2 linked regions of the Lonchura striata genome follow. Each later gene encodes a partner of the first gene's protein in a complex. Links are inferred from orthologs where the notes say so. Each region holds a gene or a part of one and is shown on either strand. Other genes may lie near its edges.

Region 1 (8,043 bases):
TGCTTACTGTCACAGTCACTGGTGCATCCAACACCCACTCAGGACAAATGCTGGGAGACACAGCTTCAAAAGAGTGTTTTCAGGCAGTCTCTTGTTCTGGATGCCTGGCTCACCTTTCTTGGGGCCTCATTTTTAGAGGAAACGAGCGCTCTGTGCAGTGACTCGAGTAGGGCACCCAGAATCAGAGGCCACTTTTGAATTGTCGGTAAAGGCATTTTGTTTTATCTCTGCACTTCATTAGTCTTATCCCCAAAGTCTTTCATGTTGTGTTCTACAGTGAAAGGTCATTGTTTCAGATCAATCATTTTCAGTGGGATTTAATCCAGTTCTAAGTCAAACTAATCCACTTTGGTAAAGGTTGAAGGGCAGTGAAAATTCATTTGTTAAGACAGATCTGGTCTTATTTTTTAAATGTGGCTGTTGATGCTGGGTCCTTAATTATTTATGCTCAGCACAAGGCGTCTTTCGGAGAGGTTCCAGAAATCATAGGATTGAGTTATTTTGTGTTCGTATTGTTCTTATTTTCTTAACACAGGTTGTTTCTTTTTCCTCTTACCTGTAGAGCCTCTTTTCAAAATGGTGCTCTGGTGGCAGCTGCTGATAAGCAGGATTTTTCATGTTTTCCTGTTGAAGCTTGTGAATTCTGGTTACTTTGCCCTCATTATATAAAGAGTAAAACTGCATTCTTCTGCCTGGGCAGGACTAGCAAACACTGTAGTTTGAAGTAGCTCATGAGGAGTTAAAGCTAAAGTGTTCTTGCTGCTTAAAGGAACCCCCACAACTGAGCATGCCTGACAACCCCCTGTGCATATCCCTGAATCATTCTAGCAAGGAAAAACTGCCATCATCTTTTATTCAGATATAGTGCTGTTTCCTCACTGGACTCTGAAATGAGCAGGTGCTGGAAGATAGCACATTTTGGCAGAGAGTTCTGAGGGTTTATCAGCTTGTGTCTGCACAGGATTTTGAACATGCAAAAGGCTACTGTGTGTGAATACTGAATGGTATTAAATAGACTGCAGTGATCCCAAATAGGCTTTGGGGTACAGACCTACCCTTTCCCACGTGGGAGCAAGAGCTTCACAGGTTTTATACAAATCAGTACCCTTCTGTTTTAAAGTTCTTCCCATGCAGGTTAATAGATACACAATGTACTTCACCACAGTGCGTGGCATGAACCCTGTTGCTGCTGCTGAGCAGCACTCAGGCAGTGTCATCTTTCTTCATTCTAGGATTTACCCTTGAGTTATGAGGGAGGTTCTGTGAGAGTGATTCAAGATTAATATGAAATTGAAATATGACAAAGAGTAGAATATTTTCACACACTGTGACAGCCTCGAGGCTTGTTAAACTGTGGTGTGTGGCTTGGCTAGAAGTATGTCACTGAAATTACAGTCCCTTGTGGTTTGGGAGAGAATCATCACACTACAGCTACGCCCACTGCTATCTCGTGCTCTGATCTTGTCGTTGGTTACACCATCTATCCTCCTGATGCACATTTATCTCACTTTACTGGGGGAATGTGCTGCTAGAATTCTAACAATAAAAATTACAGACAGTCCTAAGCTTCTGGAAGAATCTGTCCTTACAGCACTATCTGAGCATCATGCCCCATGTAAGGGCCAGGCACAAGTATTTCCAAGACCAGATGTTAACAAACTCCATCTCTTTCTCTTCCATAGTTGTCTCTGCTTCATTTGCTGTGATGTGGAAGCTGGTTAACCTCCCCCACCAGTGGGTGGTTTCTCTTCTCTCTCTCTGTTTCTCAGTATCCTGTCCCCAAGACTTTCATCATTTAGCAGTTCCCTAAATAAAACATTTCCTTGCTGCAGAAAGGAGAGGGAAGATCATTTTCTCCAGGGATCAGGAGGATGGTAGTGGCAGGAACTTTGTAGCAGCACTGCTGTAGTTCCGTGACTCTCAGAAAGAGCAGCACGAAATGTGTGTGCTCCCTCAGTGCTTCCAGGACAGCACAAGGGGAGGTTTTCCACCATGGTGAAAGCCTGGGAATGGCACATGGTGGTTTCCTGGTGGTGTTGCCTCTTCACCAGTGTCCCTGCAGCTAAACATCAGCACTGGGAGATGGCCTCTGAGCCAGCTGTGGTGTCCCCAGTGCCCCTGTGCGAGTGAACACTGAACTGGAATGGCATTTCAGCAGGGAGCTATTTATGGAACATGGGTGCTGTCCAATAATCAGATATGCCTGTGGAGCAGAGCCACTGCCTTAGGTCATAGTGCAATTTTCAGCGCCATAAATTTCTCCATCTACAAATTCTTGCTGGGTGTGGTCACTCTGGGAACAATTCTCAGTCCTGCCTCATGAGAGCAGTATTCCTGAGCTTTGATGGGAATCATGGAGTGATGCCTGGCATTGAGCTCAGCAGGGGAACCACAGTCAGGCACTGCTTGCACCCCATTCGGCACTCTAATAAAAGACCTGCTGATTTTTCCTTTTCCTTTCCATTTTTGTTTTAAGACATTGTGACTCATAAATATTGTAGAAGATTATAAAACTCACTGTGTGAGCTCTAATTTCTGTTTATTTGTACCTCTGTGGAAATGTGGAGCCACTACTGAGGGTGAAGATCCAGAGCACTAGGCACTGTATGCACAGGAGAATATAGGTACTCTCCCCCAGACCTTGGATGTGAAATGCAATCTCTTCCCTTTCTTTAGGTTACAGCCAGAGTGGAAATGCTGCACACAACGTTGCCTTATTTTAGCACTTTTTCTTGAAACTGTTGAATTTAGATTTGTATCTGGTTTTAGAGCAGCAAGGTTACACATGACCTCGTGGATTCAAGGTTAGGAATTTTTGAGACGCTTTAGACTGAAAAGTAGCTGTTTTACAGAAGCCTCAATTAAAGAAACCAAAGCATTTAATGAGAATGTTTTGTGCATGTGTAGATATATCCACATATATTTGGCAGATTAATGCAGATTGGTTCAGTGGGTGAATAACTCATTTTAAAAATACTTTGTAATCCATTTCCCTGGGGAGTCTGAAGCTGCTGTACAAGACTAGAAAGCTGCTGGTAAACCCTACATATTTTCAGAGCTGTTGGAATGCTTTGCAAACTGACTAATCTCTACTGAGAGATTATTACAACTGCAAAGGTTCCCAACTGAAGTGAACTGGGCAAGGAGGATTGGCACATCTGTCACTACTCTTGCCTGAGGGTCAGATGCATTAAAATTTGTATTTTGACATGGAACTATATATTTTCAAAATCACATCTTTGCTGTCTATACCTAAACATTTATTCTAAGGTAAAATCAATGCAAGTTTTAAAATAATTATGATAAAAAATTGAACTGATGCCTGGGATCCATTCTGTTCAAGTTTTGGATGTCACTGCCTTCTCTTAGAAACAGTGAAAACAAAATCCCAGTAGGAAAAAGCCCCATTTGGCTTGCTGGGATGCATGCACAGTAGTGTATGTGCTTCACACTACTGCAAGAGTTGTTTCCAGAATGTTCTGGCAATCAGTTTATAACTTGCTAAATTTTATCTTTCATGCCTTATTACATACAACTATAGTTTATTCTTACTTGTCATATTTATTTATGTCTTTTAACAAGACAGCTATATTCATCTAATCCCTTTAAAAATGGCAGCATTTATTTTAACTGGCATTAGGGTTTAATGCACAAAAGCCAGCAGCATTAGAGTTAAGGCTAAAAACTTTTGTCTGACACAAGGGACTGGATTGACTCATTTGAAGCAGTGTGAGAGTACCGAGGGTAGCGGAGAGCATCGGGAGGAGTGAGAGCAGCCTTGTCCCCGCTTCCCGGGTGTACCGCTGGACTTTCTCTCCTTGTCTTTGGGGGCGAGGACGGATGTGAGCTTCAATTGCCACAGGTGCTCCGTGCTGAACTCTCTGCTGGTGAGCAAACCTTCCGCTCGGCTGCACAGCAGCTCCCCGTACCTTCAGCGGTGCAGGCATGTTTAAATGCTGGCCAGGATTGAATGGGAAAAGTTAATCTATGATTTATTGTAAGAGATGAGTAACGTGGCTCCCAGCGTTTCTGTGGACACCAGCAGCAGTTTGTTGTTTGTGCCAGGTTCTTACCTTGAGATAATTTTTATGTAAGAATGGTAGTCTATCAATCCGCGAAAGCGGAGCTTGACTATTACACATTAAAATACGTAGTAAAATTGAATTTAGCTGCATCTCTTAGGTAAGGTAGTAGAATTGGTCCGTGGTACCACCCCCACAAGTCGGGCTGTTTCGAGGCAGCCGGGATGCGAGATACACTTATTTCCCCGAGAGAGGCACAGCCGTGCCACCACTGCAGGCTGCGGCCGCACAAAGCAGCCGCGGGCAGGGCAGGGTCGCACACGTGAACGCGGAGCGTGGTCACCCCGACCCGTGGTCAGCCAGCCGTGTGCCGCCCGTGTCCCTGCCGCGGCCAGGCAGGCGGGCGAGGCGGTGTCGGTGTCCAAGCCCGTGCCGTGCCGAGCCGAGCCGTGCCCCGTCCCGCAGTGCCCGCGCCCCCCGCCCACCTCCACCTTTGCAGCAGGAAAATGCAGCACTCCCAGCGCGCAGGCGCGGCCCGCGGCCGGCGCCCCGCCATGGCTATTTATAGCAAGTGACGTCACCTAGAAATAGAGCGCGGGGGAGCGGCGCCCCCTCCCCTCCCCTGCAGCACCGCGGCTCCGCCCCCTCGTTGCCTTCCCGGCGCGCAGGCGCGGGCGGCGGCAGCAGCGCCAGGCTCCGAGCCGCACACGCCGCGGTCGGTCCGGGAGCGCGGCCGGCGGGCGAGGGAGCGGCGGCCAGCACAGCTCAGCCCGGCACAGCCCAGCTCGGCCCGGCACAGCCCAGCGGGCGGCTCCGCTTACAGTTCCTGCTCCCGCCACCCGTGCGCGCCCAGCCGCACATCCCCGCCCGCCTTCCGCTCTCCCTGCCCAGCCCGGCAGCCACCACGGAAGCGGCCATGGGGGACCGAGAGCAGCTGCTGCAGAGAGCCCGCCTGGCCGAGCAGGCGGAGAGATACGATGACATGGCCTCGGCCATGAAGTCGGTGAGTGGGGCCGGTAGCGTGGCGGCCGTGGGGCGTACTCGGGGAGGAGTGTGTAGGGGAGTAGCGGCGGGGGAGGGAGGGAAAGGAAGTGCGGGCTGCTCCGAGGCGGGGTTGGTCCGGGCAGGATGCGAGCCGCCGGGTCCCACCCGTGGCGGTGAAGAAAGGAGGGCGGGAGCAGGAGCCAGACCATCCCGCCGGGACACCTCGCCGCCGTGTGGGGCGGTGCCCAGTACTACCTGCCTTCGGCAGAGAGGAGACAAAGAGTAGCCGGTCCAAACCGGACCTAGCACCCCCTCTCAAAACCTGTTTCCTTCCCCCTCCCCGTTCCCCCCATTCCCCGTGGAGGCTGTCTCGCAGCCCTCCCGCTCCCCGGCTGTCCCTGCCCCGGGGGTGTGGCTGTCCCCACGCCCTCCTCTCCGTCTCCCACCGCGCCAATCGGGCTCGCGGTGCGGCCATTTGAACGCCGCCCGCCTCTGCTGGCGGCGGGAGCGCCGCGCTTTCTCCGCCGCACGTGGGCCCGTCCTCGCCCACCCCCACGCGGGGGCTCCACCTTGGGGCGCGTCTCCCCTCTGGGCACCCGCCAGCGTCTGGGGCGCTGGTCCTGCGGGATGGGCACTGCGGCGGGGGCTGTCAGGGCACACAGCAGGAGGAGCCCCTTCCTCTTCTAGACGTTTCTTTTGCCTCGCCGTGAAAGACGCGAATAGCGGCCTCACTGACATCGGTGACTCAAAGGTAGTAGCTGCGTCCAGGTGTGAAAGCTACCCCTTGTTCCAGGAGCATTTCCCGAGCTTTAACGTTGCCTTTTTGCCACTTATTTGTAGGGTAACAGTTTCTCAGTGCATTCCGTACCCTGTTGAATAATGAAATGTGTTTAAACAATGTTACATTTGCAACTCTACTCCTTTCAGAACCAAGCAACGAAAATTATTTGTACTGATCTGATTGTACTGGTGCATAATAAAATTGTAGAATGATCAAACCTGTTACGTCTAGTTCCTTTTTTGAAAACAAAGCATTTACACCATCTGAGTGTTATGGGTAATGTTAGTGCCACTGGATGCTTAGCAGTGTCTTTCCATATCAGATTACAGTTGGTTTGTTCTTGCTGATCTGTCCTCTGTGAACACCAAAGGCCCCAAGAGGAACTGTTTCTCTCGAGAGTTCTGCTGTTTAAAGGCACAAGATGATTTTTATTTTGAAAAGGAGCTTCAAATGGAGTCCACATTTTTATTGTAAGAATGTCGCCTCCCTTAAAGGAGGGCAGCAAAAAGACACTAATTTTGCTGCTTTTGTTCACTTTTGCTATTATGTTATAATAAATACTACAACCAGTCCAGTTCTAAAACAGTGATACTTCTGAGTATCTCAATACCACAGACACAAGATGTTTAAATAAGGTGTATTTACAATTCTATCCCTAGAGTTCTTGATACAAACAATGTAATAGTAACAGCTCTTCTTTCAGTTGGTAATTTTAAAAGATGAAATAGAGAACTCACTAAAATGTACTGCTCAAGAAGACAATTTCTAGCTGTTGCTAGTAGAAAGCTTTATGTATCTCCAAGAACTGCAGACTTACAGTGCATGTATGGTCTCTGGGCACATGTGAAACCATGAGAACACAGCTGCTTTGCTTTAGGAAATGTGTAAATAAAGTACTTGCAACTAGTGTGTATGTCCAGTTGTCTTCAAACTGTTCTAATTGCTATGCAAATTTTGCTTTACCTGGAGCTGTGGTATTCTCATCTGAAATGCCACTTCTGCTTGCAAATAAGTTGTGTGATCATGTAATTGGGAGCTCAAGGACAGTTTGTAAGTAAGTGGAGTCTTGAAACTTACAGATACATTTAAAATACAAAAAGCAGTCTGAGTTTAGAAGCAACAGTTCCCTTACTTAGAGCTGTTCATACACTGTTGCATGTCTGTGATGTAGCATCTGTTATTTGGCTTTCACAGATGTTCACTCCAACACAGCAATTTCCAGAATGCTCTTCAGTGTTGAGGTTGATTTTGTAGGTCTGAGCATAATCTGTGGAATGCTCTGAGGGCTGGCTGTCCTCACACTTCATACTTCTGTTTCAGTGACTGCAAATAGCAGAGAGATAATTCAGAGAGTTTTTAATTCATATAGGTTAATATTGAAGTAATTGTGCAATCCAGAGAATTTAGACTTCCTCCAAAAGGAAGGAAATCAGTACTCTCAGAAATCTATTCTCCAGGGTATCTTGATTTGAAAAGTTTATTTTTTTTTTCCAAAATCTCTGCTTGTAACACATCTGATACTTTTTAAAGGTGCTATATGAAAGTAGTGTGCTTTCAGTGTCAATTGAAATGTGAGCAATTAATTTCAGTTTTAGATATTACTACCCTTTACAATACAGAATTTAGCTAACAGCATGGTAGTTCAGAAACATAAAAATAACAAATGCTTGTTTTTGTGAAAGTGCATTTGCCTGATTTTTGACTCTGCCACTGGAGAGTGACAAGGCTGCTGTTTCATCTGTCAGCGTAAAGCTGGAAAAACATTTATTTTTTATTCCCATCAGTTGTTCTATAATGAAAAAAGCTAGACCAAGTAGCACTTGTAGCTTAAAAAGGAATTTACTGCTCAATATGAATTTTTGTTGTTGTAAACTTTTTTTTTTCATGGAAGAATTCCAGTATTTTTGATTGTAATGTGTAAACAAGAGAGGAAAAAGAAATAATTGCTATTACAAGTAATTGTGTACATTAATTTGTAACTATTAAAATAATTTTAACAGCAAATAGAGTCAAATTTAAATGGCATTCTTCCATGGTATTCCCATTGCATTAAGTGCTGCTCCAGGATTCCGGCTGTTTCAAATAAAGCTCACACGGTAGGTACAGAATTGCTTCTCAGCACACTGGAGAAAGATGCTTTGGGTGTAACTGTGAAAGGCTCTCAGATGATGCAACAAATGTTTCAGCATTCTGAGATTACAGCATTGAGTACCCTTTGGTTTAGATAATTCCAGAAACCATGAAGAATTGTAGCTG
Region 2 (8,179 bases), on another chromosome or scaffold:
CATCAGGATATCTGTAATGACAGCAGCAAAGCTGTTTTGGATGTTTACCAGTACATGGGGTTCAAAGTCTCATTTGAGGGCCCTGATCTTCACAGGGATGTCACTTTCTACTGCTGAGAGACAGTTGATTGACACTGGATTTTTTATGATGTATAACAAAATGTCTGAGCGAAGGACATGGTGGACAATAATAGTAGTTAAATCTCTATAACAAGAAAACATTTATTTTGACAATTTAGTCTTTCTAATAATAAATGCTTTTGAGAATAAATGATGTTGCTATTTTTCTGTGCAACACAAGAAAGGGTTTTGACCTGGAGCAAAAAGAGAGGGCTTCAGTATCACTTACAGAGATGGTTGTTTAGGAGTAGCCACAAGGTTTATGTGCTCTTTGCATTCATTGTCCAATATTTCACAGGAATTTGTCTAAAAAAATATGTGTCATGTACAGCTCTTTAAATAAACATCAGGAAAGTAATACAGGTCTCTGAATTATTAGGTCATCCCTAGCTGCTGCTTACACAGACAGAGTAGCAACTAGAGGCTCAATTAAATTTCTTAATTATAATTTAGCACAACATTTCTTGAATTTTATGAACATATAAGCTGCATTGAAAGAGCCACATGTGTTTTAAGAGGGCATATAAACGTGGTGAGTACAACCTATTAGAGAGTCACAAGTGACTTTAAAAGAAGTAAGTAAATGGCACCTTAAAGAGATGTAGGGTTCATTTGATATTTTAACCTTATGCCATTCAAATAACTGAAATCTCAAATTTAAGGAGGATTTTGGGTAAGGCCTGACCCTGCAAAGCTATGAGTAGTCTAATGAGTGGAAAGGGCAAAATTCTTTGCAGTTTCCTGTGTATTAGATACTCAGTTGTTCACCATCATGCAGACTTTCTCTGTGTTCCTGGCAAACCATTAATGTAAACCAGTCACTATTAGAAAGTTAAGCCCAGCTTAATCCTTCTTCTCATTATTACTTTGCTGGTGACCTTCCTTTTGCACCATCAGTTTTGTTCTCATGCCAAAACTAATACCTAGTAAGGATAAAGAGCATTTCAAGCCTTCACTAACAGGTTTGCTTAGCTGACAGTCTTTCTTACACAGCCTAGCTACATCCACTATGTCATCACTGGAAGGACACAGCTGGATTCTGAAGCCTGCTGCTCATTGTGAAAGCTATAAAGTTCACTGCCAGATAACAAGACTGAAAGCTAATTCAGGAACTGTTTCTCAAGAGCTATCCTCTGGCCTCCCTCGTCAGAGTGAATGCACTCACTCACTGAAGCATCTTTTGGCAGCAGCTTTGGCTTCCCTCCAGCTGTTTCTCTCTTTCCGAGGATCTTCTTATTCAGTGACTGGTTGTGGTCTTTAAGCCTGGTTATCTTGTACAAGGAGCCCCACTGAGAAAAGAAGCCTTCCCTGCCATGGAACAACCAAATTAAAGCACATTTGTAAAAATCATAATTAGAAGGTCCTGTCCTCCCTGTGAAATTATCTTTTTGGAGGGATTTGGAAGCACATGTACCATGTGACACGAAAGCAAATACATTGGAATTAAAGCTGAATTAAAATAATGTAATTAAGTAGGACTTTTGACTGAGTTTATTCAACCCCCTGACTGGGCATGTGTACTTTCAAATTTTGAAATAATTTTATGAGGGGTTTTATGCTTTTATTAGTTGCCATCTAGCATTCAGTAGCATTGAGCAGATACCATCTGCAGTGACTCCATAGGCAGTGATTAAATACAAAGTTCCAGACTTCAAGGCTCCAGTAGAAGGAGAGAAAGAAATGGCAATGAGGAGAAAATCCCCATCCTAAAATGAAGGCAAAGAGAACCTGAATGAAATACTTCTCCTGTGGGATTAATCACATCTAAAGAATCAAGGTAGAAAGTACAGTCAAACTCTTCCTGCATAAATCTTGTGCTAAAGAATATCCTTCTGATATGCCCAGACCATGGCTCTTGACAAGCTGTTTGGCTGATGTTTTTCCATGGAAGGCAGGTTTTAAAGGATTCTTGCTCCTCATATCCTTTCTGTACTAATGATGGCAACTGCATAGCTTTGCTCATTAAATACATTTATGCCCACTATTTCAAGATTAACATATCACTGTGCCAACATAGGGCAACCCTATTCAACACTTGCTTCTCCTGTAAGCTGTTCCTAGTCAAAAGCCTTACAAAAAGACTTTATGTTTTGTTTCCTATATTTAAGTTTTTCTGAAGTATTCTGAAATTGCTTGCTCACCTCAGATGCAGCACTACCAAGATGTAAATACTATGCAAACAGAATGCCTTGGTTTAGCAACCATATTGGTTCAAATCTGCTCAGAGCATGACAGGAGAAAGCCCCTGTAGTAATTGCTTATTTGCTTCGCATAGTAGATATGTATTGCTACTAGCCAATATGGCACCTTATAGAAATATTTTTGAACATTTCCAGTGCTCATCCAGACACACAAGCTCCTATTGTTTTATATATACTGCCGAAAAAATGGAATTCCTCTTTGTGAACATAGAAATGCATATATTTATACTGGTATGGCTTGTTCCTAGAAGGGATAACATGGTGAAGGGAGATTTAATCACTGACATTATTTTAGATACCCAATAGAGTAGAATGATGTTAAGCCTCTGGGTATCTGCAGTGGGGATAAAGGAGTTTGCATTGTCATGAATGTGTGTGTGATATATTCTCAGGTCCTTAGGGAATAGCATACTCTCCTGCTATCCCACTGAGTCCAGGAAGGATATTGGCTAGAAAGGCACAGTTGACAGGAGTCAGTGGGCATGACAGGGAGTCAAGACCATTAATCCTGTGTATTACACAGGGAGTCCTGTTCTTAAAGAAAAGGTGATAAGGGGCAAATTTGGTTTGGTTTCTTGTGAATGCTATGAAGTATCTTCCATTTCTTTGTTATCTATGAGGATCAAAGCATTTAAAGCATTTCTTCCAGTGTCAGACCTTGGAGAAGTAATTTCCCCCCCTCCCATGGAAGTGCTGTGGGAAGACAACACACTCAACCCAGAAGGTGCCTTGGACCCGCAGTGCAGCACTGTGAATGTGCAGCTTGCTATGTTGGATGCTTAGTGTGTCCAGCTGAGTGACCTCTAGGGTCATCTTCCTTTCCTTTCCCACCACGGCCCCCTTTCCCTTCAGTCACCAATGACCATACAGGGAGGTCAAGTTATTAGCTGAGCAGAGAAGCAGTAATGGCAACAAATGAATTTAGCTATCTTATAAATATTTGTAAAAGCTATAAATAGCTGAAGCATACATTGGATTTTATTTACAATAGCATGTCCTGGCCTTTTCCTTTATACTTTTCATTTAGAAGCAGAGCTTCTTGATAATATGAGAGTTGTTAATTTAGAATTAAATTTTCATAAAAAATAAAGAGCATCATGCTTTACAAAAATTTCTGTCAGAAATCCAGAGACTGTGAATAAGATGAAGTGTTATACTGAAGGTACTGGGAACGCAGTATTTAAGATCTATGATAAGTCAGGAATGTTTTCATAAAATCTGAAGAAAACTTGGGACTTGAATATTTGAGAGGGAAGGCAGCTCTCTGCCTTGATTTTGCTTTCCTTGGAAAGCAAAGGATATGCAAAAAGATGTAAGGAGAATCCCTGCATCTTCTCAGTTTAATTTATGAACAAGGGGTGACTTGGGGGTCAGAGCATCAGTCTGAAACTGAGTCAGTGTCATACTCATACTTCTGCCTGAGCACTTCCTGTATAAACTTGGTAAATTATTTTTGCACATGCTCTGAAATTCCCAGTGATTTCAGTTGCTTTGTTTTCTTGATGTTTGCCAGCTAACATTATGGCCCGCATTCTTTGCTGCTCTGTTTCTTTGCTTGATTCAGAAGCAAAGAGGAATAAGGGGGATGGTGTATGCAGGGAGAATATAATAATGAAGGGAAAAATCAGGTAATCGTTGCATTTTGATTTTTTTTTTTTTCCCCTTCTTCTTTTCAGCTGAATGCACCGGGAATCGTTCTGGCTTGCATTTTGGATGAAGCAGCTGCTTGAAAGTCTGGTGAGAGGAGGCAGCTGTTTGAAATACGCATTCTGGTTAACGCGTTCAGGCCAAGCCCCGTATGTGCAGTCGCAAGGGTGCTTCTCCCAGAGGATTCCCCTGGGTAACTTCCCTTTGAAGCGCAGCCTCCCTGCTGAATTCAGCACCTGCTACTGTCTCCACTTCGAAAATGGAGGCATGCTAGTGTTTCTGGGGTCGAAAGAAGGGTATCCTGAGAATACTGTGGTTCTCAGTCTCAGTCGTGGAGGTTAAAGGAGCCTGCTCGCGATTTTCGTGCAAGCCTGGCCTCTGGCTGATGTAGGACATCACGGTTTCCGGAGAGCTGGCATTAGCAGCACGTCTCACTGCAGCCCCCAGGGAGGGTGGCAGTCACCACATGTGGTTTATCGGGGGGGTAACCGAGGTGGCAACGGGGCTGCGGGAACCCTCCTCCTGGTGTCGCCACCGCCGCAGCCGTGAGGAGATAAGAACCACAGCGGAACCGAACCGCAGACGGGCGGTGGGAGGCGCATCGCCCCTTGACGCATCAGGGGTCGCCGGGGCCGGGGGGCCCGGAGGTCCGGGCGCTCCCCGGCCGCGAGCCCGGCGCGGCAGCGGCCGCCGCCTTCCCGCCGCACCGCGCAGCCGAGCCCCGGCGGGGCGGGCGCACCGCCGCAGTGGCACCTCGGGCAGCCAATCCTGGCGCGCCGTCCCCGCCGCGTCAGCCAATCGGAACCGACAGCGAGAGATTGGGGGCGCCAAAGCCCCGGCGTGAATAAACCACCCGGGACCTGTGGGGCGGGGATGGGCGGGGCCGAGGCTTTGACGGGCGGCTCCTCACACCAATCCAAAGGCCGGACCTCGGGGCGCCTGGCCAATGGGCCGCCGGAGTAGGCGTGGCTGGCGGCGGGGGCGGGAGCGACGGTCGGGGGGCGGGGGCGGAGCGGCGGCGGCGGCGCTGCTCGGTGGCGACGGGCGGCGGAGGAGGCGCCGGAGGGAGGCGGCTGCGGGTAGCAGGTGAGCACGGCCGGGCCGCGATGCGGGGAAGGGCCTTCGCTGCAGCGGCCGGTGGTCGGAGCCGCAGGCGAGCGCGACGGGGCCGTGCCAAACCCCGTGGGGCGCGGGTGGGTCCGGCGGCGGGGGGGGGGGCGCCGGAGGCGGGGGAAGCTTGAGGGGCCGGAGGGGATGAGGGGGGGCAGGGGTACTCCGGGAAAGTGCGTGCGGAGGCGGCGGGCGATGTGGGGGCACCCTCCGGCCCCCGCCCCGGCGGGGCGCGGTGGGGTGGGGCGCGATCCCCCGGTGCGGCGGAGCGGGGGCCCGGCGCAGGTGGAGCCTGCGGGGGGCGGCCGCGGCACCGAAGGGCCCTGCGGGGAGCACCGAGCCGCCGGCCCGAGGAAGCGACCCCCGGGGCGGCGCCGCTCCCTGGGATTCTCCCGGGGCTGCCTCCCGTGCCTGCGGTCTCTCCTAGGCCTTGAATCCCGGCCAGGTTTCCGTCAGAGGGTCCCTCCGGCGCGGCCGCTCCCGGGCGCTTTGTACCGCTTGCCGCCCCTGCGTGGCCGTGGGAGCGAGGGGGCTCCGGGCAGCAGGGGCTCTCCCGAACCCGCTGCCCCGTCTCAGCTGGGGCTGGGCTCTGTGAACTTCGGGAGGCGTCGGGACGAGGCTTTTGGGCGATGGTACTGACGTCCCGGTCTGGCAGCGGGAGTTGTAGGGGAAAGGGCCCCGTGGGCAGCGGGGCTCGTCTCTTTTCACCCGGTTCGTGGCTTGGCCGGTGCCTCGGTGCGTGTGCGGCAGCTCGCCAGGCTGCACAAAGAACAGGCGGCCGGGTTCGGCCCGTCCTGCGGGCCAAGGAGGGATGGATGAGCAACAGCGTGCGGGGCGGGGGCTGCGGTGCGCCCGGGGAGCATCGCCCCGCTCCGCGCTCGGTCGGTCACGAAGGGTTAAAATGCAGCTCCCGTTCGGAGAGCCCTTAATTCCTTTTATTGCGCTCTTGGAGATGAACATTCTTCAAGAATGAAATGATTTATCCCTCACAGTAGAGTTAATGTCTTGCAGCAGCTCTGATCTACAACTCCTTCGGTCCAGTAGATTTATATAACCTGCTCATTAATGGTTTATGAAATGATAAGGGAGCTTTTCTGTTTGCTGATGTGTTTTGTGTGTTGTTATCAATATTTCCTAATTCAGCTGTCCGGAGTAGGAGAAGCTTATAGTTGTCAACAATGTATATTTCTACCATTTAAAGGATTTCATTTTGCTCTTGTTTTGTATTTTTGATCATTCTGCATATCAAGATAGGCTCCTGAATGAAGAGAGTGAATAAAATGGAAGGCACAGTCATTCTCTTTGGCTACAGTAATACTCTAAGTATGACTTGTAACAAAAAATGTAAATATTTAAATGGATTTCTGACTCAGTTCTATTTGACTTATTGATCTATAGTTACTGCTAAAATGGTCTTTATGATTATGCGGAGTTAATAGTTACCATAGAGAAAGAGATTGTTTTTCTGTTCATCAGTGAGTGTTTTCCATTTCTTCATCTCTTGGCAATTGTCTGTGGAAGTGCTGTTTTTTTCCCCTTAGCAAAAGTCTTACAGAAGAAATAAGGATGTGAACAAAGTCCAAAACAATGAATTTCAGATGTGTTCATTCTTGCCTGTGATTCTAGGAGTCTTGGTACCCTGAGTTATCCTACAGTAAAGGCTTTTTAATCTGTAATTGCATATAGTGTTGGTTTTAAGCCTCAGTGAAAATTTAGATTTACAGAACTCTAAACCTAACACATAAAATATTTTTTTCCTAAAATATACATGAGAAATGAAATTCAAATGAACAATTTAAATCCTTACTAGCAGAAAATTTATTTTTTATCCTTGGAATTACTTTCCTGCATTTATTATTTAGCTTAAATGTGTGGAAACTGAAGGCGCATGTAAACTAGATAGAGTAGACAAGTTTGTTTATGTTTTCATGTAGTGTTGTGAAACCTTCTGATTTTTTGTTAGCAGTTTGGCAGCATTATGCATTTGGGAAGAAACCTAAACCAACAAGCCACATTGGGCTCTTAAAACTTGCCAGACTTCTAAATCTTACATTTTGTAGTTTGATAGAGCTGCTTGGTGTCGGAATGATCTGTAAGTAATTTTCTTTCCTACCATAACGGGTATGATGGATTAAAAACTTTCTGAAACGGTACTGGAAGTCTTTGCAAAAGTGCTTCCTTCCTCAGGAATTGAAGCTATTGGGAAAAATATACTGTAGTAGATTTTTTATTGTGTGTTTGTGAGAGCCTATTACAGCACTGTGAAGTATGTCTTGAATTCTGCCTATAGCTGGTTTTATTCCACTAGTAATATTGATGGAACTGCATAGCACTGGAAAAAAAATGCTCTAATGCTATAGAAATGTAATCTTTTGTACTCTGGAAAAGATGTTTTAAAGAAGCTGTCAAGTAAGAGACTGGCAGCCAAAGCTGGTCTTATTGGTGACTTTTTAGTTGTATCCTACTTACTGCACTCATCTACTTGTCTGACACTCTGCTGACTTTGTTCTTTCTTTAGGGGAGGGGTGAAAGTTCACTTATAGTTTTGTTCTCCCAGCTTATCAAGCAAGCTTGGTTTAAACTCATATGAAATCTTGTCCTTAGTCTTGTTTTTGGAGTTTGCTTTGATTGGTGAACATATATTAAAATTACAGCTTTCTTGTTAAGTCTCAACTGATCTCAAAATATTAATAAGTGAAATTAGACCACATTGCCTTTCTTTTCCTGCAGAATACCAAGCATAAATTCAATCAAGCTAAGACTTAACATGTCCTCTACAGTCATATTATTGAATTACCACCACAGCAGCTTTGATTTTTCTGCCGATGCTTTCACCAAAAGGATCTGTTTTCCCCTGTTAGTCTTTCTTTGCTGATCCAGCTGAAAATGGCTGTACAGAAAAATGTTAAGCTTCAGTTGGATCAACTGCCTGAACTGACTTCATGGCTATACAAATGTTATTGCTTGCATAGGAGGAGGAGGAGGCTGTGACCACTCTTTGCTGAAGCAGCTCAATTTTAGTTTTGCCTAATAGTCCTGCCTTGTCAATAGACTTGGCAGCTTAAACTGAAGCTGTGGTGGTTGTGTCTCCTTCTTGACTG

What was found. Proteins that work in one complex are often made in the same cells at the same time.
Region 2: the proteins of YWHAH (region 1) and NUMB are in contact, whole or in part, in a crystal structure (PDB 5YQG), measured with the Mus musculus proteins. The link is inferred for Lonchura striata from reciprocal best matches to the Homo sapiens genes YWHAH and NUMB. Residues at the interface, in NP_035868.1 of Mus musculus: Arg57, Arg132, Tyr133, Leu177, Asn178, Val181, Glu185, Ile222, Leu225, Asn229; in NP_001129547.1 of Mus musculus: Gln274, Gly275, Ser276, Phe277.

The regions. Positions count from the first base shown.
Region 1 is NC_134620.1:4,328,516-4,336,558, reverse strand, and holds the start of YWHAH (14-3-3 protein eta), read left to right. Parts: upstream 1-4,811; 5' UTR 4,812-4,938; coding exon 4,939-5,025; intron 5,026-8,043. UniProt on the Homo sapiens protein: Adapter protein implicated in the regulation of a large spectrum of both general and specialized signaling pathways. Binds to a large number of partners, usually by recognition of a phosphoserine or phosphothreonine motif.
Region 2 is NC_134608.1:35,772,486-35,780,664, reverse strand, and holds the start of NUMB (protein numb homolog), read left to right. Parts: upstream 1-4,949; 5' UTR 4,950-5,054; exon of another isoform or gene 5,055-5,161; intron 5,162-8,179. UniProt on the Homo sapiens protein: Regulates clathrin-mediated receptor endocytosis. Plays a role in the process of neurogenesis.